Notamacropus eugenii: one gene and its partners. The protein of the gene in region 4 interacts with the protein of the main gene of each other region in a biochemical or structural test. Links are inferred from orthologs where the notes say so. Each region holds a gene or a part of one and is shown on either strand. Other genes may lie near its edges. The genes, in order: BRF1, AHR, DRAP1 and TBP.

Evidence for each region.
Region 1: the proteins of TBP (region 4) and BRF1 form a complex in vitro, tested with the Homo sapiens proteins (2 studies listed by BioGRID). The link is inferred for Notamacropus eugenii from reciprocal best matches to the Homo sapiens genes TBP and BRF1.
Region 2: the proteins of TBP (region 4) and AHR form a complex in vitro, tested with the Homo sapiens proteins (2 studies listed by BioGRID). The link is inferred for Notamacropus eugenii from reciprocal best matches to the Homo sapiens genes TBP and AHR.
Region 3: the proteins of TBP (region 4) and DRAP1 are reported together in a solved structure, tested with the Homo sapiens proteins (2 studies listed by BioGRID, with this or other methods). The link is inferred for Notamacropus eugenii from reciprocal best matches to the Homo sapiens genes TBP and DRAP1.

Annotation. Positions count from the first base shown.
Region 1 is NC_092872.1:334,325,332-334,332,665, forward strand, and holds the start of BRF1 (transcription factor IIIB 90 kDa subunit), read left to right. Parts: upstream 1-4,314; 5' UTR 4,315-4,782; coding exon 4,783-4,966; intron 4,967-7,334.
Region 2 is NC_092874.1:10,117,994-10,125,381, forward strand, and holds the start of AHR (aryl hydrocarbon receptor), read left to right. Parts: upstream 1-4,375; 5' UTR 4,376-4,749; coding exon 4,750-4,817; intron 4,818-7,388. UniProt on the Homo sapiens protein: Ligand-activated transcription factor that enables cells to adapt to changing conditions by sensing compounds from the environment, diet, microbiome and cellular metabolism, and which plays important roles in development, immunity and cancer.
Region 3 is NC_092873.1:18,626,691-18,634,523, forward strand, and holds the start of DRAP1 (dr1-associated corepressor), read left to right. Parts: upstream 1-4,813; 5' UTR 4,814-5,040; coding exon 5,041-5,082; intron 5,083-5,430; coding exon 5,431-5,503; intron 5,504-6,832; coding exon 6,833-6,926; intron 6,927-7,303; coding exon 7,304-7,423; intron 7,424-7,833. Other genes in the region: C2H11orf68 (UPF0696 protein C11orf68 homolog), read right to left, coding at 3,001-3,748, 4,407-4,513. UniProt on the Homo sapiens protein: The association of the DR1/DRAP1 heterodimer with TBP results in a functional repression of both activated and basal transcription of class II genes.
Region 4 is NC_092873.1:267,361,451-267,368,359, reverse strand, and holds the start of TBP (TATA-box-binding protein), read right to left. Parts: upstream 3,021-6,909; 5' UTR 2,802-3,020; intron 2,688-2,801; exon of another isoform or gene 2,308-2,687; intron 1,530-2,307; exon of another isoform or gene 1,438-1,529; intron 1-1,437. UniProt on the Homo sapiens protein: The TFIID basal transcription factor complex plays a major role in the initiation of RNA polymerase II (Pol II)-dependent transcription.

The DNA of each region.
Region 1 (7,334 bases), on a different chromosome or scaffold from region 4:
GCAGTCTAAGAGGCTTAGTTAGGTTCTGATTTCTCAGCTGTCATTTAAATTTCCCAATTATATCAACATAATAATTTGCTAAATTCTGTTACAGTGAAGTTATAGGTAATAAAATTGAAGTTTTCCCTTTTGTGGGACTTGAATCCTAAGAGAAGAATGAAATAAATGAATTCTTATCTTAAGAATTTAAATGATGGTGAAGTCAATGCCAATTTAGAAAAACACTCCTAACTTTAGTTTATAAGTCCATGTTGGTAAATATAAAATCATTAACCAGAAGGACTCATTTTACAAGTCAGCTCCTCATGGGATTTTTTTTAGATCCTCCCTTCAGCCTGTTGTTGGCCGTGTCTAAATCAAGTAAAAGATTTTGGTAAAGATAGAAACAACAAAAACAGAAGCACTCTAAAAACTTAAATTCTCCAAAGTATCAAGTAAACTATGGGTTAATAGGATCAGAGCCATAAGGTTTGAGCTAATTTTCACCACATGTTGGCAAAGCAAAGTTAAATTGACCACATTAAATTGCATTGACATCTGTTTTGCAAAAGATTTAACAGAAACATCTAAGAATTTCTACAAGAGATCTGAACCAGAGAAGCAGATCTACTAAGAGAAACTGCTTTGAGAATAGGCCCATTCCAGAATGCTTAAGATGAGAAGCTTCCAGAAAAACCTGATGATTATATTACATGTTTTTAGAAAGTAGACAGCTGCAAGAGATGTCTGAACCATAAGATAAGATGAATTGATGAAATGTACAGTGGGAATGGATTACTAAAAGACCAAATGTCACACTTTCCTCTCATTCCTTTCCCATGCATCACTGTTTTTATAAATTCTGCTTACTGAAGGAGATGGTTCACAATGGTTCCTGTCAATTGTTCAGGTCAATCTCTCTCTCTTTCACACACACCCCCACACACACATGCACACACTATTTCTATATTAGTAAAACACTTAAGTTTCATAATAACAGTCTTTGATGAAGTGTTTAGTGCTTTCTGGTCTTTTTGTATCCTGGTAAATCAAGTCTGAAATGTGGATATGTTGGATGTCATTTAATAATTGGCATATTAGCTAGTGATTCATTGAGCAAACCGCATTTCTCAGTGAATCAAAGGGGAAAACTAGAACAATTAATATTATGTTGTGTCATTTAATAATCAATATTACTCTGTTATTCAACCTATTCTTCATTTTGTCAAACCTCATTTCTCAGTCTAGTTCAAAACACAGTCTCTCTGAATTCCAACTAAAGGCTGGTTGAATATCCTCTGGGGCATTTGCTAGCTAACCAGTTTAAAGTCGGAGCCTTGCTTTGTTTACAGATAAACCAAGAATCAACTTAGGGGACTGTCCTTCCCTCTCCTTGTGAAATTTAGAGGTAATTTGATCTCCAAGAGGAAATCTAAATGGGGTGGAAGGAAAGGATCCTGATTGTGGTGGTTCTGGTTTTCTAGATTAGTAGAGGCAGCTGAGTCCCATAAATCAATTTGCATTCCCTAATTGTTAAAGAGGGGCTTGATCAGCACCTGAAGGTCAACACATCTTTCCCAAATGAAGACTAATTCTATAGTTTAGTCTCCCAGCCAGAAGGAGTTTAGGCAACACTTAATCCACCTCCTTATTAAAATATCTATTATTGGGATTGTTTTACCTTTGCCAGGGGAAGTCCACATGATGAACTGTCAGGCCAATCAGAAGGAAGACACACTTAGGTTTAAAAGACCCAATCAGGGTCTTTGCTCATTGAGAGGTCATTGACCTTATTCATTGGTTAATGCTAGCTTAACTCAGTATCATTTTATTAATCATATGTTGTTGTCAATTATTTTTCATTTGAGTCTGCCTATTTGCAAACCCTTAGGAGTTTTCTTGGCAAAGATACTGGAGTGGTTTGCCATTACCATCTCCAGCTCATTTTAGATGAGGAAAATGAAACAGAGGGTTAAGTGACTTGCCCAGGGTCATGCAGTTAGTACATGTCTAAGGCCAAATTTGAACTTTTGTACTTCAGACTCAGAACTTTATCCACTTTGCCACATAGCTTCCCCTTAGTGAATAAAAATATGAGATTTATTTTCCTCATCCAAGTTCAGTCCATGGACCCCCAGGTTAAAAACCCCTGATCTATAGGACAGAGAATGGAAGATGCCAAGGAGAATAACAGATCCTAGGGTAAAGAAGAATGGTGGGGAATAAAGGGGAATAAGAGAGAATGAAGAAAAGTTGAAGAGGAACTACAGTAGGGGTCTGGAGAGCAGAAGAGGAATAGAATTAGGATTTGGGGGTGGAAGAGAAACGAAGAGAGGGCTTGAAGAATGAAAATTATGAGTTGGAAAATGTAGGTAAGAGGTAGAGGAGAATGAGAATGGAGATGAGATGATCAGCATTGACTTTGAGAATGAGAATTATAGCTAGTAAAGAATGGGCATAGTAAAAATGAGAATACATTCTGGGAGGAGTCAGAATGACTTCAGACAGAAGGAGGGAGAGAAAGAATGAAGATAAAGGGAAGGAAAAGAGAAGGGAGAAAAGGCAATGGATGAGAAAATGAAGAAGCAGTGTGGGAGAATGGAATCAAAGGAAAAAGAGCATGTGGAGGACAATAATGAAGGCAAAGGAAACAAACTATAGCTCTAAATTTAGAGTGAGATAAATGAGGGGAAAGAATGGAACAAATCATCTGGGAGGGGGAAAGGGATGTGAAGGGAAAGGAAAGAGGAAAATAGGAGAATTCCTGTTTTTCTTCAAGGCTCAGCTCATTTGTAAAGTACCTTATTCGATTTTATTTTTAGTTCTAAATTCTCTCCTTCCCTCTACCTTTTGTCCTACTTGAGAAGGCAAGAAATACAAAACCCATTACAAATATGAAATTACGCAAAACAAATTTTTTCATTAGTCATGTTCTTAAAAAAGCAAGACAAACTTTACAAAATAGGCTTCAGTCTATACTCTGATTTCATCAGTTCTTTCTCTAGAGGAAGATAGCATTTTTCATTGTAATCTAAGCTCCTCATTGGTAGACATCAATGTCCTGAGTTTGTCTCAGGGGTGGGGAGGAGTTGGCTAGAGCAGGAGGAGGGAGGAGAGCTCTTGAGTCTTCTTGGAGTTGCTTCCTATAGTTTCAGGAATTTCTGATTTCCAGATCCAGAGAAAGATGGAAGATGCCAACCCCATTTCAGGTTCCTGAAGGAAAAGACTCTGAGAAGAAGCTGACACAAGAGGAGCTGGCAGTCTCCATCATATCCCCTCTCCCTAGCTTTCTTCACTAGGCTATAGCTCTCCATCTCTCTTTTAGTTATAGTTGGTCAATTGCAGTGCCCCTTTGCATTGCATTGTATAACAGGGGTGGGGAATCTGGGATTTCGAGGCCCCATGTAGCCCTTTAGGTCCTCAAGTCCAGCCCTTTGACTGAACCCAAACTTTACAGAACAAATCCCCTTAACAAAAGGATTCGTTCTGTAAAACTTGGACTCAGTATATGTTCTCTTATGTATACTTTCTTCGGCTCCTATTTTGCCAACGGGGGAGGGGAGAAGGGTGTCCTGCCTCTCCCCAAAAGTCATAAGTGATCAGAATTTAGATTGTACCGGAAAATCACATCCCTTAGACCAATAATATTTAAGTAAGCTGGAAGATATAATTCTAATCAGGGACCCTCTCTGTTTGGCCCCAACCACCTGAGTCTCCACCCGGGTAGGAATTAAAAGTCTCCCTTGGAGAAGGGTGCGGTGAAGAGATTAGAGAGGTCTATTCTGAATCCTTTAGAACTGTGGCGGATCTTTGTGTTGATCAGTTACTAAGCTTTTCCTAGTTGATTATCTTTAAATTTTTGCTGTAACTGTAAATTATTCTCTAAGTTCTCACTTCACTTTGCATCAGTTCATATAAGTCTTCCTGGGTGAAATCATCTCCATTTTTTAGGACACAACAGTATTTCATCACATTCAACAGCCCTAACTTGTTCATAAAGTGCTTTACGTTGCATCAGTTCATGCGGCGCTCAGAACAATCCCATGAAGGTGCTCTGGTCCCCATCGGAGGAGCCGCTCCGCCTGGTTTCCCTTGACATTCCTGCTGTCAGTGTTCTCCAAGGATTTCCTTCTCTGGCTCCGTGTCTGCATCCGCCAGCAGAACGCAAGGCCTCCGAAGGCAGAGTCGGCTTCGCTTCTTGAGGTTCGCAGCTCCCAGCAGCGATGCTGTGGCTCTGCAGAACATCTGAGCCGAGCGCGAGGGAAGAGGAAGAGGAAGAGGAGGAGGAGGAGGAGCAGGACGAGGAAGCGCATCCTCCACCGCCTTCGCCCCGTTAGGTCTCCTCCCCAGAGGCGGGACGCGAGCCAACGGGGCTCCTACTCGCTTACGACGCTAGGCGGCCGACCAGGGCTAGGAGGTGCCGAGAACTCGAGCCGAACCCGGCCGCTTCCCGGCTGAGATCCTAGTTCCTCCCGCCCCTAGCGTCCCGGAGCACGGCCCCACGCAGGCAGCGGCGCCGGCGGTTGGTGACGGTTCCGAGGGCGGTTCGCAGCTCCTCGCAGCGGCCCCTCTGCCTCGGGAGAGGAGAAAGAGAAGGGAGGAGGGAAGGAGGCAGAGGGGGCGGGACCGTTTGGCGCCGGCAGCATCGCGAGAGAAGAAAGAGGCCCAAACGGGACTTGGCTTCCTGGGCTGGAAGAGCTGGGGATCGGCACCGCGGGGCCCTCGGCTGGGGCACCGAGCGCTTACCTGGCCCGGGAGGGACCCGCCTGGGCTGGAGCGGCCGAGGGCCTGGTGGGGGTCACGATGACGGGCCGCGTGTGCCGGAGCTGCGGCGGCACAGACATCGAGCTCGACCCGGGCCGCGGCGATGCGGTCTGCACGGGCTGCGGTTCGGTGCTGGAGGACAACATCATCGTCTCCGAGGTGCAGTTCGTGGAGAACAGCGGCGGCGGCTCCTCCGCGGTGGGGCAGTTCGTCTCTCTGGACGGTGAGGAGCGTGGGGCGTACTGGCCGCAGCTGCCCAGGGGAGGCGGCTGGGACGGAATTTGGTCCGGATTTGACTGAGTTCTGGGGAGCCCGCCTGGCCAGGCCCCTACGGGAGGTGTGGGGCCCTGAGCCCTGAGCCCGGAGGGGCGGGCCCTGGCCTGAACTGACAGGTGGAGCTCCGGGGTCGTTTTCCTTTCTTTTTTTTTCTTTATTTTTTTAGTGGTGGGGAGGGAAGTGTGCGGTGGGTCCGAGAAGGGGTCTGGAAGTGCTAGGAGGGCCTGGGCTTCCTCTGGAGCTGACATGCCCCTGAGGAGAGGTGTCAGAGGAGGGGGAATAACCCCTGAGCTTGCCGAGCATCTGAGTTTTAATCGCGGAGCTGGAGGAGGGACCCTCCCAAAGCAGAGGGAAACCCAGTCCACAGAGAAAGATCACTAGACGGAACCCTAACTGCCGCTGTTGCACCTTAAAGCTTGCAAAGTGCTTATATACGCTATCGCATTTATTCTCAAATAATCTTGTGAGATGGATAACGACAGGAGTTATTATTTTTACCAGGCCCATTTTACAGATGAAGAAAATGAGGTTTAAGTTGAGTCTACTTGCCCACGTTAGAAAGATCACAGATAGCATTTGAACCTAGATTCTTCCAGACACCAGGTCCATAACTGTACTCGTTTTGCTATGCTGTTTTTACATCATTGCTTGACTCACGTGGAGGTAGGCAAAAATCACCTTCCACCAGGAGGCTGTAGAGCAGCATCTAAATACCGGGCAGTTTCTGTGTTCCAGGGTTTAACATTCTAGATAAAAGTAGATTTATGGAAGGGAATAGAGTGGAAACAGAGCCTTAGGCCTTGCTGCCCTTTAGGTTTGTTCAGAAAGAGAAAAAAAGGAAAAGTTATCCTTTTGTCTTCAAATCTTAGCATTACAAATGATCGAGGCCAACCTTTTATTTTACATAGCAGGAAACTAAGGTCCAGAGAGGAATGACTTCACAACCAGTAGTAGAACCAGAACTAGAGTCTAGATCTTATGACTGCTGATCTTACATTTTTGCTACATTGTGCTATCTTAAATAAAAGGCAGTTGAGCAGAAAAATGACAGCAGTTTTCTTGTATTTTTTCTTTTTATCACTTGTAAAATTCTTGAGTTTAATAAGAATTTTAAAAGTCAATGATATACTACAATTTCAAATTTTGTTGTTTTGCTACATGGTGTTTTGGTACAGCAGATACTTCCCAGGGAATAACCAAAGCAAGAATCATCAATAATTATTTTCCCCAAATCACCTAATATGATTAGGACCAATATTATATGCCATTTTACAGTGTTTGTGGTTACTGTATGTTCACAGAAAGGGAGGATGTGTGCTTCCCTCTTTAACTGGATATCGACATTGATTGGTGTACTTGACCTGGATTTTGTTGCTTACCTTAGTTTTGCTTTTTTTTATGAAGTGTTTTTATTTACATTGTTATAGATGTTGATATTGTTCTGTTGAATTTGCTTTTCTCACTCTTCTTACAAAGTCTTCCTGGGTTTAGGATCTTAGACCTAGAACTGGAAGAGAACCCAGAGACCATGTAATAGAAAGGTTTTAACCCGGGGTTCATGGACTCCTGAAAATCTGTTTTAGGGGGTCTGTGAACTTGGATGTGAAAAAAATTATATCTACAGTTTTCACTAAAATTTAAGTATTTTCAGTTATGAATTTAAAAAAATTATTTTATTTCATGAAATATTTCTCAATTAATTACATGTAAATTTTTTTTAAACAATCATTAAAAAAAATTTGGAGTTCCAAATTCTCTCCCTTTCTCCCCCTCTCCTCTGCCCTCCTTGAGAAAGCAAGCCATTTGATTTATATTATACATGTGAGGTCATGCAAAACATTTCCATATTAGCCATATCATGAAAGAAAACAATAAAAATAAAGTTAAAAAATGCTTCCATCTTCATTTAGAGTTCATTCTATTTCTGGAGGTGGATAGCATTTTTCATCATGGTTCCTTTGGAATTGTCTTGGATGAAACAATTCTAAAGCACTTATGATGAAAAATGACATCTATCACCAGAAAAAGAACTGATGGAATCTGAATGCAGATGAAAGCATACTATTTTTTTGCTTTTAAAATTTTTCTTCATTTTTTTTTTTTGGTCTGTTTTCTTTCAATATGACTAACATGGAAATATGTTTTGTATCACTGCACATGTATTTCAAATTGCTTGCCTTCTCAATGGTGAAGGAGAAAGGAGGGAGAGAATTTGGAACTTAAATTTGTTTTAAAATGAATGTTGAAAATTATAAAATAACAAAGCAATTTGCCTTGGATCATTGTCTTGATCAGAGTAGCTGTCTTTCACAGTT
Region 2 (7,388 bases), on a different chromosome or scaffold from region 4:
GAGAAGGGGGGTGGGGCAGAAAACAGAACCAAGCATGGAGGGCTCCTCCCTTCCAGCATGCCTCCTGAATCCACCTTACCATGATCTTCCCTTTGGGGGCATGTCTGAATCCACTGAGGCTGTGCTCTCAGGTCAGTAATAAACATTAATTAAGCACCTACTATATGATAGATGCTTTGCCAGGCTCTAGTAAGACAAAGGAAAAGACAGTTTCTGCCCTTGAGAAGCTCAGAATCTCATGCCCATCCCCTATCCTTACCACTGGCTCTGCTGCAGCACCCAAAGTGCTCATGGGATGTTTTCTCTGCCCTGTAGCTAGACCCTCCTAGTGTGTCTTCTATTCCAACTGGAATGTGAGCCCCCTGAGAAGAGGCATTGTCTTACCTTTCTAGTTCTGTCCCCAGAACTTAGCAGAGTGCTTTGCATATAGTAAGGGATTGTAAGTACAGCATATAGTAAGGGATGCCTTCATTCACTCACTCATTCATTCATTCATTCATTCATTCATTCATTCATTCATGTATTCATTCATCATATTAATGGATACAAAACCATCATTTCATAACCCCACTTACATTTGGTCCATTTCACAGCCATAGACAACACTTATACCAATATTCAGGTTCCTTGACATGTTTCCACAGCTCAAGAAGAAGAAAGAATGTTGATGGATTAATATAAATACATCATTGCCTTTGTGCAGGTGGGAATGGGGGAAATGAGCGCCAGCCTCGAAAAGATCAACATCGAGAGGATATCAGATGAACAGCAGCATAGCAATGTAAGTCCTGAACTTGGAATGAGGTAGAACTGGGTTCAAATGAGCCTCAGGAGCTAAATGCTATCATACCCATTCTACAGAAGAGAAAACTCAGTCAAATGAAATCGCACAATGATACAGAGCCTGGACTGGAGCCAGGAAGAGCTGAGTTCAAATCCAGTTTTAGATACTCATTAGCTGTGTGACCCTGAGCAAGTCACTAAACCTCTATTTGTCTCTGTTTCCTCAGCTGTCAAGTGGAAATAACAATACCACCTTAACTAGAAGGTAGGTTTCTGGAGGGCAGAGCTTTGTCTTCATTCAGCTTTGAGTACGGTGCTTAGCCTACATTAAATGATTAAAAATAAACATTTATTGTTTATCCATTGTGTACATGTATATGTGTATCCATTCATTCTCTCCTGGAGTGTTCCAATTTTCTTCCCTTGGATCCTTCCCCTGAAGGCCTCCCTACTTCCTTCTTTCCTTTTTTTTTAGTAAGTTTTTTACTGATGTCTGTTTTTTTCTTTACATCACCATCATTTCTCCCAATATTCTTGCTCCTCTCAGAGAGCTATTTCACATAGCAAATGACATTTAAGATTTCTTTTTTTTTTTTTTTTTGCAAATAGCAATTTTTAAATGCTAAAAATAAGAAAGGAAAAAATCAGCACAACTGACCAATAAATTGAAGAAGTCTGAAAATAAGTGCAATGTACAACACTTTGGACCTCCCATCTCTTCAAAGGGGTCTGATTCTCTTCTCATATTTCTTCCTTCAAGCCAGGTTTGTTCTTTTTAATGGTGAAAATTTGACTCCTGATTTTTGGTGTGGTTGTTTTTCCATTTACATTGCTGTAGTCATCATATCTATTATTTTCTTGACTCTGCTTAATTCATTTTGCATCAGTTCATGTAGATCTGTTCATGCTTCTCTATATTCATCACATTTGTCATTTCTTACAGCACAGTCATCTTCCATTACATTTATGTTCCACAATTTGTTTAGCCATTCTCCAATCAAGAGGTATTTACACATTTCCAACTCTTTATCCTCCCCCCAAACAAAAGTGTTGCTACAAATATGTTGGTTTCTCTGGGGATTTTTTTCTTATCAGTTACATTCTTTTCTTATAAAAACAACTAACCAATCGGAAAACAAAAACCAAAAACAACGTTGGCCCTTGAAGTTACTACCTCCTGTTTCTATCACCACCAAAGTTTCCATAGGAGTAATTTCCATTTGATAATTTCACTTTTGCAGCACCCACTCACATGCTTGTCTTCTTTCAAATCTATCTACCACGACCACTCTATTGAAACTTCCCCTGAAGGCCACAAAATGAGCTGACTCCTGTTCTGCCACACATAGAATCATCAGAAGTCATCCACTGTAACCAGTTTCCCCTCCCATACACTTGACAAGTGGTTGGTCAGCCTTTAGAGGAAGACACCCATTGAGGGGGAGTCCATTACAAACAGAGCCCTTTGACCTTGGACAGCTCCGTCAGGAAGGCTGTCCTGCTCCCAAGACTAAATGTGCCTTGTAGTGACTTTCACCCTTTCTATTATTTGGAGCCACGCAGAACAAGTCTAGTATTGTAAGGGCTCACCATCTAATGGGGAGAAAACATGCAAACCTCTATGAACAAACTATAGATGGGCAAATTCCTCCTCTGTGAAATACTTCAAAACAAATCTCAAATGCCCCAAACCCTCTCTTCTCTGGGTTTAAGACTTCTTTTCAGAAGGCATGTACTTGAGATGGTAAGTTTGAGTGGCAAGAGGGCTGAATTTGGAGCTCAGGGATCTGAGGCACGAAGTTCTGCCACTTACAGGTTGTGTGACCTTGGGTAAGTCACTTAGTCCAATGGGGTCTCAGTTTGCTTATTTGTCAAATTAGGGCATCAGCCTAGATAACCTCTAAGTTTCCTTCCCCATTGTGGTGCTCTCTTTTGGGTGTTCTCCATCTCATTAATGTATTTTCTAAAATGCTGTGCACAGTAATAGCTTTGCCAGCCTCCATCAGTCCTAACTTTCTGAAGCTGATGGCACCACTGAGTTATCCTCTCATGCACCACCACTCTCTTCCCCCCAGCTCATCTTGGCTTTCTGTCATCTCTCTGCTGGGTGCAGTTCTGTCCCCTGCAGGTCTTTCTTCCCCATAGGATCTAAAGGTGGGTTTCCCCTATGGCTATGTCCCCACAACTTTTCTCTTTTCTTTACATTTGTCATCCAGTACCACAGCATTCACTGACACCTCTGTGGCACTAATGTTCCCCTCTATGTAGCTGACAAGGGTCTCAACCTCGACATCTCTTGTACCTCTGGCCTGGATCAACTTCACAGGAATGAGATGAGGGAATCTGGTCAGACTGCAATTCTCCAGAAAGAGGCTACAAGCAGGCATTAACAATGGGATATGGGCCTGGTTTTTATCTTTTTTTCTTTAAGAAAAAATACAGTCTTATGGCCTCCTAGAATAATGAGGTGATTGACGTGGGCAGATGACAGCGGCACTATTGTGTTCAGTCCTGAGTGGGACAGTTTAGGGAGTGCATTGCTAAGACCTGGTAGGAGGAATGCTTTTATTAAAACCCTCCTCTCCTGCATACCTGCTAAGCTTCGGCAAGACATCGCTACTCTAGCAGTGTCTAAAGGGAACTCAGCACCGCTGCAGGTGGTTTTCTTTTTGTTTTGTTTTCACTTCTTTCAGTTTTAGGACTTAGCCATTAATGATCAGATTCACAAATCAAACCTGCACAAAGCACTGAATAGAGGAGGGGAATGAAGTGGAGAGGGAGAGGATACATTCCCAAGGTCATGAGAGAACTGGGAGGAAATGGCAGATCCTACACTGGCACCCGGGTCCAAGACTAGAGTTGCCCTCCTCTTCTTCCTCGAGATCCAGGAATCCCTGGTGCCCCTGCAGACTGCTCAGGAACCACCTCTCAGGTGCAGCCGTCTCCAGATGCTCCGCATCTCAGCTGTTAAGGAAGGCGAGATGTAGAAAACAAGCTTGGACTGTCACCACAATGGGGATGCGGGCATCGCGGGACTGCGAGGCTGGACTGGTGCTCAGGGAACCTAGGCACCTGGGGTCAGCGTGGAGCTACCAGCTGTGCGCTGACAGCCTGCCCTGAAGACCCACTCCCCGGGCCCAGGCAATCAGGGCACGGTGTAGAGTGGAAGCGCCTTGAGGGCCGGGGCTGTTGGCCGCCAGGACTTTGCACGCACTGAGCCCAGCTGGAGAGGCTCCATTTCACGGAGGGGAAACTGAGGCTCAGGGCCATTGACCACTGACCAGAAAGTGGACCCAGAGGGTGTGTGAGCACACGTCCGGGGGGCTTCGGGCCGAGTGCCGAGCTGCCTTCTAGCAGCCAAGGAGACAACTGCAGCATCCTTGGCGGGGAGGGAGGGGGGAACGCATAGCTTCGCTCCCGACCTTATCAAGATGGCGCCGGAAGAGGGACAGCACGTCTACCGCCGTGACGCAAGCAATAGGGGTGGGGCCGGGGGGGGGGGTAGAGCCCCGAGTGCGGGGGCGGGGCCTGGGAGGGCGGGGCGCGAAGGGGCGGGGCCGGAGGGTGCGGCTGTCAGGCTGCTTGGAGGTGGCCGGGAGGGGACGGAGCGCTCAGGGTGACTCGTCTGAGGCGGCGGCAGCAGTAGCAGCCTCGGCGGCGGCCCCAAGGTCCCGGGCGGGCGGCAGGAGCCGAGGAAGGCCCTGAGGCGGAGGACTCGCGCGGGCCCCCTGCCGTGCCCTCTGGGGGGGGCCCCCTCCCACCACCCCCCCCCGGGTGTAGCTGGGCTCGCGGGGGCTCTGGGCGCTCGGGGGGCTGAAGAGCGGAGCCCTGTGCGCCTGCGTCCAGGCGCCCGCCCCCCCCGCTGCGCGCGCTCGCCCGCAGCCTTCGCCTCACCTGCGGCCGCGCGCTCGTCACCTGCGGCCGCCCGGAGCCCGCGCGCAGCCCGCACCCCGCGGGGCCGGCGCCATGAGCGGCGCGGGCGGCGCCCACATCACCTACGCCAGCCGCAAGCGAAGGAAGCCGGTGCAGAAAACGTAAGCGTCCCTGGCCGCCCGGGACCGAGCGGGGTCGGCCCGCGGTCCGTGCCCGCCCCCTGCCCCTCTCCCGATCGGTGCCCCTGGCACACACGCACGCACCCTGACGGCTCTTCTCCCCCGAGAATCGAAGAGCCAGGGGCCGCGGGCTCCCCGGGGCGCGCTCTGTCGGGGGCCCTTCTCACTGAGCCCGGTGGGAGCGCGGGCTCCGAGCCCCGACAGCTTCCGCGGAGTTTCTTGGGGCGCGCGGCCAGTGGGGCCAAACATGTGCTGGGCGGCTTCTGGAGCTCCCCGCGGTGCCCACACCCCACCCCGGGCTGTCGCCTCACTTTCGTGGGTGGGAAATAGTAGAGGCAGCGGGCACCTGGGTGCGGGAGCTCACCTAAGCCGGCCCGAGTATGGGCACCGCAGGCGGGTCCTGGAGCGCTGGGTATGTTTGTAGCAAATTGTATCCAAACCTCCACACCCCTCCCCCCGCAAGTGTAATGGAAAGACTCTCACTGTGAAATCTACAAACTGGATACAGTGGCGAGTTGGGGGGGGGGGGTCTTTCTTTTCCTGAACTTGAGAATTTTCCAGGGGCTCTCTGTTCAGAGTACAAAAGAACAGATTTCTTTACATGTTGTTGAAAATAGTAATTTTAGAGTGGTGAGGAATTCGCAGTCTGGAAATTCCCTCCAGCAATGTACATCTCTAACTCATTGTAACTTGTGGGCTTGGAGAGTTAGCTGGATTTTTGCGAAGGGGTGAGTTGGCCGGGAGATCGCAGCTAGTATTTAGGAGAGAGGTGATTTGAAAGTCTGTTTTCCTGAGTTCAGGCTCGGCCCTCTCCTTGCAAGCACACCTTGGGTGATTCAAGTATACAGATGTATAAAAGTTCTTTTTAAAAAAAAAAAAAGTCTCTCTTACATCTAACATTCATTCTTAGAGTTAGCTGTATTCCTATATTTTCATTTGTTAGTATTAATATATTTAGGTCACTTACATTTTCAAATACTGATAAGGAGGATTACAGTGGATTTCGCAACCATACTTTGTAAAATTGGAAGTGTTCCTTGTGCACAAACATTCAAAAAGAGTTGCACGCCGATGATTTGAAGTAGCTCGAAGTAACTAACTTCAAAGAAGTTTCTTTGAACATGAAATAGCCCATTTAAGTTTTAAAAATTTCCTCTTTGGTCTCGGTGATCTTACTTCTTTAGAGTTAACTCTGAAAAACCTAAATTGACGTTAGCATATGAACTCCATAGTTGTGCCATAAATAGGCACTAATTAAAATGGCATGCACTAACTTTGACAGCAGCATCTTTAGACAGTGTGCATTACATGAGGTTTTTAGCTGAGGCTGGGATTTCCTGCCTGGATTGAGAGTATTGTAAATTGATGATTGGAAGAGTAGTTGCATTGATAACTCAAACAAAAGCAAACACTTTGCATCTTGTAAGATATTTTGTATTTCAAAAATGTGCTTGTAGATTTTAGATTTTATTTATGAATGATGCTTAAATTGTTGATATGTGCACAGTCCCTGTTCATATGTTTATTAATAGAGTAGATGGAAAGTGTGGAAGTATTCTAGATTCCATAGATCCTTTGGTTATTTTTCTATGTGTCAGATCACAGGATAAAGCTCGTAAAATAATCATTAATAAAATACTTATTATTCTTTTAGGCAAGTTTTTAAAAATATGATAAAGTGATATTTTTATATTTTGCTATTTAATATTCTTTTTGTTATGCCATCTGAGAAACAAAGTTAGTTCTGAAGTTATTAGAAACCTGTGTTTAATTCTGAAAGAAAAGACTCGGTATGGAACATTCGGTCATCTTTGGTCCATAGAGATCACACTGTTTATGTTGTATTCCAGATAGGACAAGTGAGACGATAGGAAGAATGGAATGGATTAGGACCCTTTGCCCACTTCACCTCCCCATTTCTCCAACTTCTTTATTACTAAGGGAGGATTTGCTGCAGTTATCCAGTCTCTAACATCACAAATACCTCCAGGCCGATGGTTACTGCATGATCCACTTGGGCAGTAGGAAGGACAGGGTCCTGGTATGCAGGGGACCCTTTGGCTGCAGGACAGGGTGTGGGCACTGGACATGCTTAAAGAAAAGCCACCAGTCAGAGTCTTATTCAGTGCCCATTGGAGGGAGAGAAGATAATCATTTCACTGACTTTATTCTCATTTTAAAGATGACTACAAATCACCAGGTCATTAAAACTAGAGGAGAGGGCTCACCCTACACAGAAATTCTTGGGGGACACGTCCTAAAACTTGTTCCAAAAACTCTCTGGTCAATTTGGTTTCAGTGCATTAAGCACTTAAGTCTTAAACTCAAAAATCTTTTTCCTGAGTCTTTCTTTCTAAGGGTACCAGAGTTTTGTGGTTGATGGATTGATGGTTCCCTCCAGAGAGCACTCTCTGCATAGCTCTCTCTGTACTGTCTTTTAGGACCTCAGATCAGACTCGACTGAGGATATGAGTAAGTTTTAGAACTTTTTTGGAGAAGTTTAATGACTTTGAATATACAGCAGCTCTCATTTTAATATACTCCTAGTGAAAG
Region 3 (7,833 bases), about 250 Mb from region 4:
TGAATGAATTCCACCTTATGGTAGCAAAGATACTAAAAAATGGACAATTTCATTGCAGGAGCAGTTGGGGAAAGGTAGGCAAACTAATTTATTGCTAGTGAAACTGTCCAACTGCCCGGGGAGGTAGGGGGACGTAGAACTAAATTGTTTGTCCCCTTTGACCCTGAAATCCCACAACTGGGATGATACTTTCAGGAGGTTAATGACAGAAAAAAAAAATAACTCCTGATATGCCATAGCGTTGATGTAGCATTATTTGTGATAAACAAAGATATGCGCCCAACAGCTAGGGGCTAGTCTGTGAGTGTAAAGGAATATTCCTGTATTTTAAGGAATGCTGAATCTGAAAAATCCAGAGGATCACATGGAAAAAGGAAGTAATGTCAATGAAAGAAAATAGGGTCAAAATTGTGCCAATAGTGTCACTATGGAAAAGCAAAGAACTCACGGCCAGGATAGCTGTCAGAGTTTTCACCCTGCCACCAGTTAGGGGACACATCTCCCTGACTTTTCTGTGCTCAATCCAATGGGTTTTTGGGGAAGTGCACCAGCTTAAAAGGGTACAGTGAGGTACTCTGGGAAATATCTGTTCTGTACAAATGAAAGGGTATCAATAAAATTTAAAAATAAAAAAAAAATCACTCTTTGGCTTAGGGATCCCTCCAAAAGGGTCAGAAAAAAATGTATTATTCCAATCCTTCAAGGGCATGAGATTCCATTGGTGATGACTGGAAGGGGACTGTTATTTTCATTTTAAAGTTGCAGAAACTAAGGCAAACAGGGGTTGTGACTTGCCCAGAGTCACACAGTTAGCAAATGTCTGAGACTGAATTTAAACTCAGGTCTTCCTTCCTCCAGGTCCAGGGCTCTATCCATTACACTACCAAGCATCTCGAATGGCTCTTTGGGTGGCCTGTAATTTTGATGTTTTGGGAGATGACAGTTTTCCATGATATTCAGCCATACAGCTGAGTAGAAGCACTTTAAAGGCATTTAAAGAAAGGTGGGTGTTTTTGGTTGGTTTTAGTGAGAACCTTGGGGATCATTAAAAAGTACTGCACAATTTCCCAAATGAAAGTCAGCACCTTTACGGCATCCAACGTCTACCTAAGCACGTCAACCCAGACCACAGACAGGTTTCATCCACTTGGCTTTCCTGCCTAGATAGTTACTGTGTGTGCGCTCTTGAGGATGCCCAGCCAAATGCAGTTCAGTGCAGTCAGCAGACTCTGCCAAGGGGAGCATCTAGATTCTAGGAGATGCCATTCTCTCGAGGGAAGGGATCCTGGGGGGATGTGGCAAAGGCCTCTGTTGGGGAGCATCCATTTCTCATCATTCATCAGAGGCTCACTGAACCAAACAGGAGGACTCTACTATTTTCATCTTTCAAGGATCCCCATATGATTCTCACATGCAATGTTACAAATAAGCCAGGAGGTAACTTGAAATCTCCCCCAGCTCAGAACCCTCCCTTGGCTGTAACTGCCTCCCTCCTCCCCCTGCTTTGAGGCCTAACTCAGGGGCCTGGTCTTCAATGACTCCCAACAGGTGGGAACAAAATGGTTTATGAGAACACTGTCTGTGGAAATAGTGTAGAACAAAAGCTCCTTGAGGGCAGCAGGCTGTTCATTTTTCTTTTTATGCCCAGCATGGGGCATAGAGCCTCGTGCCCATTTCTGGGAACATAATAAATGCTTGTTGATTTAAATTAAGTTTTGCCCTGAGAGGCAGGAGAGAGGTTTGGATTGGAAGCTAGAAGACATAGGTTTGAGTCATGTGACCTCTGTGCCTCAGTTTCCTTATCTGTAAAATGGGGATACTCACTACGCTCCCTACAAGGCTGTTCTGGGGATCAAATGAGAATATACTGAAAGCTCTCTGTAAACTACTACGTGCCTAGAGGTACCACAAGGCAGCGAGCAAAGTTGTTGCAGGACTCAGTCAGTCAACAAGCATTTATTCAGGACTCACTAGGCACCAGGCACTGTGCTAAGTGCAGACAAAGGAAAGCTGTGGAGACAAAGAAAAGCAAAAAACAGCATCCCTCCCTCCAGGGGCTCACATTCAAATGGAAGAGACATCGTATTAATGACTGGGACACAAGATATATACAGTGTAAAGGAAAGGAAGGCAGTGAAGGTGCTGGGGAAGGCAGGAGGCAGAGGTTGAAGAAAGAGCACTGCAGGCACGGGGCACAACCAGGCTTTGCAAAGGCCTGGAGTTGGGAGGTGGTACCGCCTGTGCAAGAACAGACCAATACCTGGATTATGAGATTTGAGGGAAGGAATAAAGTGTCAGAAGACTGGCACTTGTGAGGGGCTTTCATGCCAGAGCATCATCAAGCTGATCCTGGAAGTGGTGGCTGAAAACCAGAAGCACACAGTCAGGCTTGTGGCTTCCTTGGTCCCAGCAAGCCTCCTAACCCCATTCCTCATCACATCAGAGCTGACCAGCTGCCACCTGGATCTGACAACCAGAGGAGCAGGAGGGAGGGGTGGGCTGAAAACAAAGGTGGGCTTTATTGAAGCCAGGGAAGGAATAGTAGAGGAACGGGTTGTAGGAACTGCAGGCAGAGCAGGGAGCAGCAGGCACCTACCCCACGGGCCCCCCCTGCTGGTGGCCCCGTCCACACTCAGGACTACCAATCCCAAGATGCAACACTCCACCAACTCCTAGGTGCTTTGCCATCCAGGGATGGGGTGGAGTAGCTCTAAGCAGGTGGAGGGAGCCCAGTCAAGGCTCTGGGCAAGTAACTGAAACTCTGAGGAACAGGGTCCCGTTGGCCCTCCATCGACTGGACCAACACAGGGAATAATGTCACGTCTCTGCCTCCCCTCCTTTCCTGAGGCCTGACATTGGTCCCCAAAGCCAGGAAGGCAGACCGCCCTGCCATGGGGACTGATTTAAGAGCCAGAGAGCTGCCCCAGAGGGCCGGAATGATTGTCTGTGCCTTCCCCACCCTAGATGTCTTGGCTCCCAGCACCCGAGTGCCCACCCCCCCTAAGTCAGTGCTGTGTTGTTGAGCCTGTCCAGGACTCGGGAGTAGTGGGGGTCACTCTCCAGGTGGTAGCTGCTCTCATAGAGGGTAGGGCAGAGGTGCCAGCGGTTAGCACGGTAGATTCCTAGGTAGGTGTAGACATCTGGCTTATAGGTCAGTGGGCACTTGACCCCAGCTGCCCGGATGGCGGCATCAGCCTTCAGCACTCCTTCCTGGTCTGTGAAGTCCTCTGTGTAGACACAGATGACCTGACGCTCCTCTTCCTGGGCCCGGGGGCTCACTTTGGCCACTTGTAGCTTCCCCTCCACCACAGCCCTGGCAATGCCAGCCCATGCATGGTCCAGCTTGAAGCCGGGGCTCAGGTGCATCAGCCACTTGCCGGTCAGGACCTGGTGAGTGAGGGCCAACTCCCGCAGAATAGCAGGTGTGATGGGCCGCCCGCTGGCCTGTAGGGCTTCCCAAGCCCCCTGCAGTCCCTGGACATCCCCAGCTCCAGGGGAGAAATCAGGCCCATACACTGCAATCCAGCCCACAGGCTTGGGATTGGGAGCGCTGGGGCCCCCATAGCGAGAGACACGAGAAGGAGGGTAGGCAGCCAGCCAGGAGTCCAGCTCACAAGGCGGGGTGCTGCGGGCATCGAAGACCAGCCAGGGGTCCATGTCGGCTGCCATGGCCTCAGCAGCCAGATGCTCGGCCGTGAAGCCATCCTCCTGGCCCCCAGGGGGGATCTCTTCCTCCGGCAGCTCCATCCTGCGGGGAGGAGGAAAGGTGAGGCCCCGGAACCCCCACCTGCGAGCTGGGTGCCTGCAGCAGGGTCAAGAACCCCTCCCCCTGTAAAGGATGTCCCTTGCAGTGCCATCCTACCATCCCGCTCTTTGTGGCCCTTTAGGGACAGAGGGCGGGGTGTCCCAGTGGGTGGAGCGCCGGCTCGAGGCTGGGAAGCCCCGAGTTCAAATGCGGACACTCACGTGGCTGCTCCCTGTCCCGGTATCCCCGTCAGTAAATCGGGATGATGCTAGCCCCTGCCCCTCCCCAGGGGGTGGGGAGACCCGAATGAATGAACGCAGGGAAAGCGCACGGCAACCCCCGCTCGGCCCTGGCTGCTAGAGGACGATCCCAATCACTAAGCCCCCGCCCCCAGCTCTTAAAGGAGAGAAGCCCTCGGATGGATCCCAGCCAAGTCGCCAGCTCGCCTTCGGGGAGCCACAGTCGGCCCCGCCCCTCCGGCTCCTCCGAGCCCCGCCTCCCCTCCCCCGCCAGAGGAGGCGCTCGCCGCCGCTCGCCTCTTCCCCGCCCCTCCCCCCGGCCTTGGCCCCTCCCGGCTCCCGTACACGCCCCGCCACGGCCGCTGCCCTGGCCCGAGTCTCCGGTCTCGCGACCCCGCTGCCTGCCCTCAAGAGCCAGTCACCTCCGCCTCTCGCTCCTCTCCGTGCCAACCCGGCCTGGCCCCCGCTCTCTCCGGGGCTCTTCTCCGCCGCGGGCCCTCCGCTCCGCCCACCCTACGGCCGCCGCCATCTTGGGCCGCCTGCCGCCTCAACAACAACTTTATCGGCAACCGCCGGCCGCGGTCGTGGACAGCCAGGACAGAGGGGGCGGGGGGACGGGGGAGCGAAACTCCTCCGGACGTGGCAGAGGACGCGACCAATGGGAAGCAGGGCCCCTCCGCGGAGGCGTGAACTCGCGGAGGGCGGGGCCGTTGAAGGCGTTCCTCCCGCAGCAGGGAGGCGGGGCGAACGTCGTCCTCCGCGGGTCTGTAGGAGGAGAGGTGCCGGAGCGAAGCGGCCGCGAGGAGCGAGGCGGGGCGGAGCGTCCGCGGTGGCGGGGGCGCTAGGACCCGGAGGAGCGAGCGGCGGCTCGGCGCTAGGACCCGGAGGCGCCGGAGAGGCCCGGCGCTAGGACCCGGGTGGGGCCGCAGCCGGAGCCGGAGGAGCCGCGGCGGCGGAGCCCGAGGAGCCCGAGGAGCCGGGGCCGGAGCCGGGCCGGGGCCGGAGGGCCGAGGCCGAGGTGCGGCGAGAGCAGCGGCGGCAGCAGGAGGCCACGAGATGCCGAGCAAAAAGAAGAAATACAACGCGCGCTTCCCACCGGTGAGGACCCGGCCCCCGCGGCCGCCCCCAGCCCCGGCCCCGTCTGGGCCCTCCTGGCCCGGCCCGTAGCCGCCCCCTCCCTCGGGTCCCACCCCGCCCCGCCCAGGGATCCCGGGGGCCCCTCCCCCAGCTCCTCCCCACCCTGGGACCCCCGCCCCGGCCCCTGCCCCTCCCCCGGCTCTCGCTCCACACCTGGGCCCCCAGCGGTCCCCGCTCCCGTCCCCGCTGCACCACCGGGCCGCCCTCTCCCCCGGCCCAGCGCCCGGACATCCTTCGATGATGGAGGTTCCGGAGGGGGGTGCCCTGGTACCCCTCCTCGAAGCTGATCTCTGCCTCCCCCACCCCAAGGCCAGAATCAAGAAGATCATGCAGACGGACGAGGAGATCGGCAAGGTGGCGGCGGCTGTGCCAGTCATCATCTGTATCCTGGGCCGCCGGGGAGGATCGGGGACAGTGGGGCTGGGGCTAGGAGGTCGAGGGCAGAGGGGCTGGGGGCTCAGGAGGCCGGGGACGGTGGGGCTGGGGCTAGGAGGTCGAGGGCAGAGGGGCTGGGGGCTCAGGAGGCTGGGGACAGTGGGGCTGGGGCTAGGAGGTCGAGGGCAGAGGGGCTGGGGGCTCAGGAGGCCGGGGACGGTGGGGCTGGGGCTAGGAGGTCGAGGGCAGAGGGGCTGGGGGCTCAGGAGGCTGGGGACAGTGGGGCTGGGGCTAGGAGGTCGAGGGCAGAGGGGCTGGGGGCTCAGGAGGCTGGGGACAGTGGGGCTGGGGCTAGGAGGTCGAGGGCAGAGGGGCTGGGGGCTCAGGAGGTTGAGGGCAGAGGGGTTGGGGGCTCAGGAGGTCAGGTACGGTGGGGCTGGGGGCTAGGAGGTCGAGGACAGAGGGGCTGGGGGCTCAGGAGGCCGGGGACGGTGGGGCTGGGGCTAGGAGGTCGAGGGCAGAGGGGCTGGGGGCTCAGGAGGCTGGGGACAGTGGGGCTGGGGCTAGGAGGTCGAGGGCAGAGGGGCTGGGGGCTCAGGAGGTTGAGGGCAGAGGGGTTGGGGGCTCAGGAGGTCAGGTATGGTGGGGCTGGGGGCTAGGAGGTCGAGGACAGAGGGGCTGGGGGCTCAGGAGGCCGGGGACGGTGGGGCTGGGGCTAGGAGGTCGAGGGCAGAGGGGCTGGGGGCTCAGGAGGCTGGGGACAGTGGGGCTGGGGCTAGGAGGTCGAGGGCAGAGGGGCTGGGGGCTCAGGAGGTTGAGGGCAGAGGGGCTGGGGGCTCAGGAGGTTGAGGGCAGAGGGGTTGGGGGCTCAGGAGGTTGAGAACAGAGGGGTTGGGGGCTCAGGAGGCCGGGGACGGTGGGGCTGGGGGCTAGGAGATCGAGGACAGAGGGGCTGGGGGCTCAGGAGGTTGAGAACAGAGGGGTTGGGGGCTCAAGAGGCCGGGGACGGTGGGGCTAGGGACTCAGGAGGTTGAGGGCAGAGGGGCTGGGGGCTCAGGAGGCTGGGGACAGTGGGGCTGGGGGCTCAGGAGGCTGGGGACAGTGGGGCTGGGGCTAGGAGGTCGAGGGCAGAGGGGTTGGGGGCTCAGAAGGCCGGGGACGGTGGGGCTGGGGCTAGGAGGTCGAGGGCAGAGGGGCTGGGGGCTCAGGAGGTTGAGGGCAGAGGGGCTGGGGGCTCAGGTGGCCGGGGACAGTGGGGCTGGGGGCTCAGGAAGCCAGGGTTGAGGGGCTCAGGGCTCCGTCAGGCTTCCCTGATTTTTCTTGACCAGCTCCTCAGCCAGGGCATTAGAACTGTTTTTGGAATCCCTTCTCAAGAAAGCCTGTCAAGTGACCCAGTCTCGGAATGCCAAGACCATGACCACTTGTCACCTGTGAGTCCTGCCAGGGAGGCCCCACTCTGCTCCCCAACTCTGGCTTCCCCCTTGGTCCCATAGGACACATTTCCATTCTCCTTCTTGCCCCACCCTCACCCTTTCCCTCTGCCTCCCTCACCTTTGAAAAGATCATCTGATTCAGAATCAAAAGACCCACATTGGAATCTCTGTTCTGCCCCTGACCTCAGCCAAACCTGTTCTGGGCCTCAGTTTTCTCTGCTGTAAAATTAGGGGGTTAAATTAGAAAGCTCCTAAGGCCCCTTCCAGTTCTTCATCCCAAGAGCTTCTGTTGCCCTTCAGTTCCCCCCACCCCCAAGTCCCCCTTCCTTTGGAGCCTGAAGGAGGAGCTCAGCCCCTGTTATCTCCCATCCTAGGAAACAATGTATTGAATTGGAGCAGAAGTTTGATTTCTTGAAGGACCTGGTTGCCGCCGTGCCCGACATGCAGGGAGATGGAGAAGACAATCACCTGGATGGGGAGAAAGGAACCCGAAGGTAAGGGGCTACAGTAGGACATTCCCCCATTCTCCTCTGACCCACCCTAGCAAGGTGTTGTGTTTCAGAGAAAATATTTCCAAAATCTAACCAGCACCATATACAAAGTGGAACAGTCACAAAATATTTATTCAGCTTGCTATCGTGTGCCAGGCACTGTGAAGCCCCAGATCTCTCTGTCTGTCTCTGTTCATCTCAGGGCATCCCCCCACCCCACCTCCTCCCAAAGAAATGTCCCATAAAACAGATAACATTTTTAAAGAGACAAAATCAGCAGACGCGATCAAATCTTACAAGTCTGGGAACCTACAGCACTCCAGACCTGTGCACCTCTGCCTCGGTGAAGGGAGGAAAGGGGGAGGGAGGCTTCCTTTCTTTATGGTTTCACTGAAGTCCGGCCAGTTTCCCTT
Region 4 (6,909 bases):
ACATACTAAAAAAGCAGAGACTTCATCTTATCCACAAAGGTGCATATAGTCAAAGCTATGATTTTTCCAGTAGTAATGTATGGCTCTGAGAGTTGGACTATAAGAAAAGCTGAACACTTCAGAATTGACACTTTCAAATTGCGCTGCTGGAGAAGACTTTTGAGAGGCTCTTGGACAGCACAGAAATCAAATCAGTCAATACTTAAATTAATTCAGGCTATTCAGTGGAAGGTCAAATATTGAAGCTTAAGCTTAAATAGTCTGGGTCACATAATGAGAAGATAGAACTTACTAGAAAAGACTCTCATGATGGGAAAGATGGGAGGCAAAAGAAAATGGGGACAGCAGAGGATGAGACAGATAAATAGTGTCATGGAAACAATGAATATGAACTTGGACAAACTTTGAGAGATAGTGGTCTGTAGCACTAAAGGAGCCTGTAGTGATATGGTCCATGGGGTCATGAAGAGTGGGACATGACTGAAGAGCGACAAGAACAACAACTTCCTGACTCCAGGTCCAATACTCCATCCACTGAGTCACCTAGCTGCCTCATGTGTCTCTAGTACAGTATTTTTCATGTAGTAGATATGGAATATAATATGAACTGAATATGTGAAAAATGTACAGACATAAACATTTAAAATAAATTTTACTTATCAGCTGTTCTTGGTGATCAAAGATTTCTTAAGGGGAAGGCTCAACTTAAGAAGTAGTTAATAGTATGTGAATGATAGAACTCAAACAAGCATGATCTATCAATAATGTTTACTAAGTACCTACCTACCATGTGCTAAGTTCTGCATCTACAAGAGAAAATCTGTTAACAACTATAGAGAAATTTAAGATAGTGTTTCAACTTGGGCTATCACAGTAGCATAGAGACTAAAGACCCATAGATTATGGAGTTTTGGAAGTGGCATTTATTTCCTAAATTATACAGTATATTGAAAAAATTATCAGTTCCCCAGCGGGATGTTAATGTCGCTATACCTGCACCTCAGCATTCCAGTTCGAGAGTTAATTTGGACAAGTAGAAAGGGTTAGAGAGGATCTAGAATAAGGCCAAGCTCCTCTGAAGTAGGCTAACTTTTTTAAGAGGGAGGAAGGAAAAATAAAGGACAGAGGAATACTAATTACTCTGTTCTCTCACTTGCTGATCTCATCAGTTCCCATGTATTCAATTACTGTAGAAGACTCCCAGATCTAAACACTTGACCCTCCTCTTTCTCTTAAGCTCCACTTGCTTCAAGAAGTGTTTACGGGACATTTCAAATTGGCTATCCCATAGGTATCTCAAACTCAGAAAGTCCAAAATAGACCTTTCTTCTCCCCCCACCAATCAACTTTTCTTCCGGAACCTTCCCTGTTACTGAGGACAGCAGTCACACCAACCACATTCGCTACTCAGTCATTCAACCCCACATAACCAACTACCTTCCATTTCTTGTCTCTTTTATCTTCATATTATCTCCTCTATATGTTGTCCTCTTCTCTCAACTAACACAACCACCACCCTATTGAATGAATTACGCTAGCCTTCTAAATTGGAACGTCTCAGGTATCTCTCCATTCTCCATACAACTGCCAACGTGATCTTCCTAAAAGCACAAGTCTGACCATGTCCGCTTCTTCATGACCCCATGGACACAGCACACCAGTACTATAGATACGGGAATGGTTTGCTATTTCCTTCTCCGGTGGATTTGGGCAACCAGAAGTTAACTGACTCGCCCAGGGTCACAAATCTTAGACCAGATTTGAACCTCCAGGTCCAGTCCACTGAACCACCAAGCTGCTAGGAACCATGTCAGTCTCTGAATCAATAAATTCCGGTGACTCTCTATTACCGCTGGGATCAAATATACATTCCTGTTCATTTAAAACTCTTCGAAACCTGCCCTCTGTCTTTCCAGTCTTCCTAAACATTTTGCTTCTGCAGAGGCTCTGGAGGTCAGCTGTAGTGACCACCTTGCTGTTCTCCCCTTTCCGTGCAACTGCACTAGCAATCCCCCACCACTGGAACGCTCTCCCTTCTCTCCCCCTCTGAGACTTCCCCGCTGCTACTAAGTTACCCTGACTGCCGTCTGCATCTCGTACGGACTTTTACAGGACCGTGCTGTCTTCCCCGAGGGGCTCCCACTGTTTGAAAGGCACGGGCTGTAGTCCATCTTCCTTCCTATGCCCCCTTTTAGCACGGTTCCCAACCTCTAGGAAGTCACTTAGTAAGTGGTTTGTGGACTGACCCAGCGATTTCATGGGTATAGAAAGGTTCAGAAAACGCCATCATCTCGAACCATCACCTACAGAGAACGTAAAGGTGTGAGGGCTGCTCGGGGCACTGAAACTGGTCCAGGGTCACCAAGACGCCGGGAGTCAGGGGAATCCAGGTTACCCCTCGGGTCCTATCGAGGTTATCACCCAGGTCCGCCTGCAGCGAGCCGCAGGCACGCCTCTTCCACGGGTCACCGGCACGTGCGCAATCTTCCCTCCGCACTTTCCCCGAGCTTTGGAGGAAATTACCGGGAAACGGCCCCAAGCCCAACAATGCCCTGGGCCGGGGGACCGATCGAGCGGCCAGCGGCTGCCGCGTCCAGGGCCCGGCGCGCTCCGGCCGTGAACCCCCGAGCACCTCGCGCCTCCCTCCGGTCGTTCCTGCAGCGCCCCCCGCCCCCCAGCCGCCTCCCGCGCGCCAGCCAACCCTCCTCCCATCCCCCACTTCCCGAAAAGAAGCCCGCGCGCGACACGGCGGCCGTCGCCTCGACCGCCCCCACCGAGTCCACTCCCTCAGCTTTCCCCACCTCTTGACTCTCCAGCGAGGGAAGAAATCAAAAGAATGATACCTAGAGTCTCTAAAGCCACCGCCGCGGCAGGTGAAACCCGAGGTCGGGCCGGAGGCAGTCTCTCCGCCCGCCACGGCGACCCAAGCCTACCCGGCCTTCCTAACCTCCCGGCGCGCCGAGTGACGCCACTTCCGCCATCTTTCCGTTTAGCTTCACTCTCGCCTGCGGCCATTGACTTATATAGCCATGTTCAGTGTGGGCAGTCATATCACTTCCGGAAACGCTCCCACGTGACTGGGAGTGGGCGGTGCTAGGGAGGTGTGTGGGCGGAGCTGGTAGCTAGCTTAGCTCTTGTGGTGCTGCAGCCTTGGTCTCTGGAGCGAGGCTTGAATAGCCGCTACTTGTGGCACTTGGGTCTTTCTGGAGAGGCGCGTGTTCACGGCACCCATTCCCATCAGTTGAGCGGGGCCCTTGTCACTCTGGGTGCACTTTGCCTGGGACTGTGGTTTTCAAACTTTTTGTTAGCCACACCCCTCCTAAAATGTCTTTATTACTACTCCACCCCCTCCTTTTTATAAAATAATCAGGTAAATAATTGCCATTGTAAAGGTTTTATGAAGATAAAATTAAGGAAAAAAGAAATCAAAAAGTTAAAAATCCCTAAGTAAACACTAACACATAAAAATAAATCCCATAAAAAGCGCGTAATTGCCTCAATTCAGGTTTTATACAAATAAAATTAAGAAATCACTGCTCCACCCCACTTCTTTTCATAGAATAAGCAACAAAACAGTTCTCTGTAGGTATCTGGGGGCAAAAGAGATGGGCTTGGCCCGGGCCTTTTGTTGGTAGTCAGCTTATCCAAGATCCCCAGAGTTTTCTACCCTGAGACCGCCAGCCAGTTCCAGTTTTACGTGCAAAGAAGCTAAAGGCTTCCTAAACTCACATGATCGTAGGCAAGCTTAGACACATCCACCTCAAAGTTAACGTTTGGTCACTTTGAAAAAGGCTGCCAGGGACCCGGTCAAACGCTCACGTGGCAGTGTTGGTGGATTGGGAAGAAAGAACATAACCTATTCCTCCACCATCTTCATGAAGAATCTAGAGATAGCTTATTACTTGTCCAATGGAAGAGTTGAAGCAAAGACACTGAAGCTGTTTCTTCTTTTAACTAATATGGTATCTCACCCCCTACTTCTGTCATGGTGGCATGGAGAGAACTAAGAAACCCTTCCAAGGTCATCCAGAATACCTAGTTATTTCAGTGCCAAGTTACTCCATGACCAGAAGTAGACCCCAAAGTTCCCCACTCTGGTCAACTAGAGGGCAGCTAGATGGTTCAGATGACAGGGCACCAGGCCTAGAGTCATGGAAACCTAATTTCAAATCTAGCCTCAGATACTAACTGTGTGACTCTGGACAAGTCACTTAACCTGGTTTGCCTCAGTTTCCTCATTTGTAAAATGAGCTGGAGAAGGAAATGGCAAATCATTTACCAAAAAACCCAAACAGGGTCATAAAGGGTCAGACACAACTGAAACTGCTGTCCAACAACTTGGTCAATCAGAAAGAAGGGCAGTTCTGAGGACTGTTCATGGGATAGCTCTAATTCAAATTTCCCTAGCCCCAAGTATTTATTGATAAACTCTTTTATATTTTGTATCCTTTACTCAGATCTCTCCCTCCCCTCAACATGGGAGTCAGTTTAAATTGACTAGATTCATCAAGGTAGGAGGGCTGACCTCAGATCAAGTCAGATTTCTCTATTGGTTTGCTCCCATTTAGAAATTTCCAGCAAAGCTAAGACTTGGATCATGTTTAGGGTCGTCTCTTGGTTATCAAATGTGGAACGGTTTTTGTATGTCCTTAATAGAAACTGAATATACACAAAGGACTCAGAGTTAGACATAAATAATAAAACACTCAAATATTCTATGAGAGATGATGTTTAAATCCTTGGGAACTGGTGAAATTACCAAGTTTCTATGCAGATGACTTGCAGACCTATATATCTAGTGCCATTCATTGCCCTGATCTCTGATCTTGCATTGCCAATAGCCTATTGAACATTGCTTTTAAAAAATTATATTTCCTTTTTTTTCAACAAGTAAAATTCCATCTTCTCTCCTTCTTTGAGGATGAAAGGAAGAAAGCTGTTACAAACAAGTTGTTACATGGTACAAACATGTAAAGTCAAACAAAACACATAGCTGTATGGGCCACATCCAAAAAACCTTTGTTTTATTCTGCACTCTGAGCCCTTCATCTCTCTATCAGAAAGTGAGGAGCATACGTAATTGTTAGTACTCTGGAATTGTAGTTGGTCATCACACTGATTAGCGTCCTTAATTCTTTCAAAGCTGTGTGTCTTTACCATGTTGTTGTCATTGTATGCTTCATCTATTCCAGGAATTCTGGTTAAATTTTTTTTTGGCCTATGCTGCATTTTTCTTTGTAGTTGTTTTGAGGTAATTTTCTTCTGAGTTTGTCTTCAGCATCCCTATCACCATAAAAACTCTTCATGATGGGATTTTTGTTTGTTTATTTTTCAAGCTTCCTTTCTGACTTTAGACTTAATTTTAGGGCCAAGATCTGTACACTTTTGGAGGGAATATCTGAGCTGCTTCTACTGCTACTTTCTTGGCATATTGAAATGTTGTGTTACTTCATAATCTCAGGAACAACTCAGGCTTGGAGTTTTCAATACTCCTAAAATTGTCTGATTCAGTGCAAAGTCTGATAGCTGCCTGCTTAGTCTGACCTCTGAAACTTCCTGGTGTGGGTAGTAGTAGATTACTGCTGGACTCAGCTATTATCAGCCATCTGAGAAATGCTGCTGGTTGAGAGTAACAGAATTGTAGGCTGGCCTTAGCTCTGGAATTCCTGCCTTGGTTATTACTCTGCAAGTTTCAGGGTGGGCTAGAAGCTAGAACTGAGACCCCTTTCTCCTCCTGGGATCTGAGCCACACTGCTGCTGCTTGCTTCTCATCTCTTTATACAATGTCCAGCTTCTCACCCTCCCCAGTTACCCCTTATAACCACTTTTTTAAAAGAGGAAAAGAAAAAAATTCAGCAAAATTGACATAAAAAAATCAGATATTTTATGTAATATTCTTCACTGATCAGTTACCCCAATGCAAAGGAATGTGTGTGGGGGGGGGGAGGGGGCAAGGAAATGCCTTTTTATATGTTCTTTTTGAAGCAAGGTTGGTCTTTATGATTTTGTACCAATATGGTAATTTTCACAAACTTTTTTAGAACTGGAAGGGACCCCAAAGATCATCTCTTCTCACCCTCCCCAGTTTCATGGAGGAGAAAATTGAGTCTGGGAGGAATTAAGCAAATCAATCCAAGGGCAAAGCTGGTACTTTATTTATTTTAGCTTTTACAAAAGAATATTTTTATGAAGAAGATATCGGAGAAATAAAAGCACAAACCCCTCCAAAACCAAAAGTACACTGTTCCGGACCAGCTCAGTCGCTGAAGAGTTATTAAACATTTTCCCCACCAAGTGCACTTTACTCGCAGAATACAATGTCTTGGCTGCCAGGCCATTCCATTGTTGGGTTGAGTGAAACAGACCAACCCTTAGTGCTGGCTCCTGATGAAAGCTGGTACTTTATCTATTTTTAAAATTTATTTATTTGTTTTTAGTCTTCAACATTCACTTCTATAAACTTTTGAGTTTTGAAAGCTGTAGTTTAACAGCAGGCTCCGAGCTGGATCTGGAGGCAGAGGGCCTGGGTTCGAATTTTGCCCTTCCTTACCAGTCAGACCCTGGGCAAGGCACTCTGGACCTCACATCTTCATCCAAGAATGGGGGGTGGGAGGGAACCTCTCCATCGTCTGGGTAACTCTCCAACACCGGAGACAGGTGAGAAGGTGCGATTGCGTCGGTAGAGGGAGCTTGCTCCTCCGGGAGCTCCCAGAGCCAGCGTCAGGAGAGGTCAGTAGGTGCCAGGGCTGAACCTTGAACCCGGGACTCCCTTTCTCCAAGGACAGCTCTTCAGCGGAGGCCTCTGGGCTTGTGCTTGTTAAGGGCAGCACTTGAACGCAGGACTCAGAGGTCGGTTCTGTATTTTTACATGGTTTGAGCTAGTAAAGCTTCCCAGAACAGGTAAGGCCA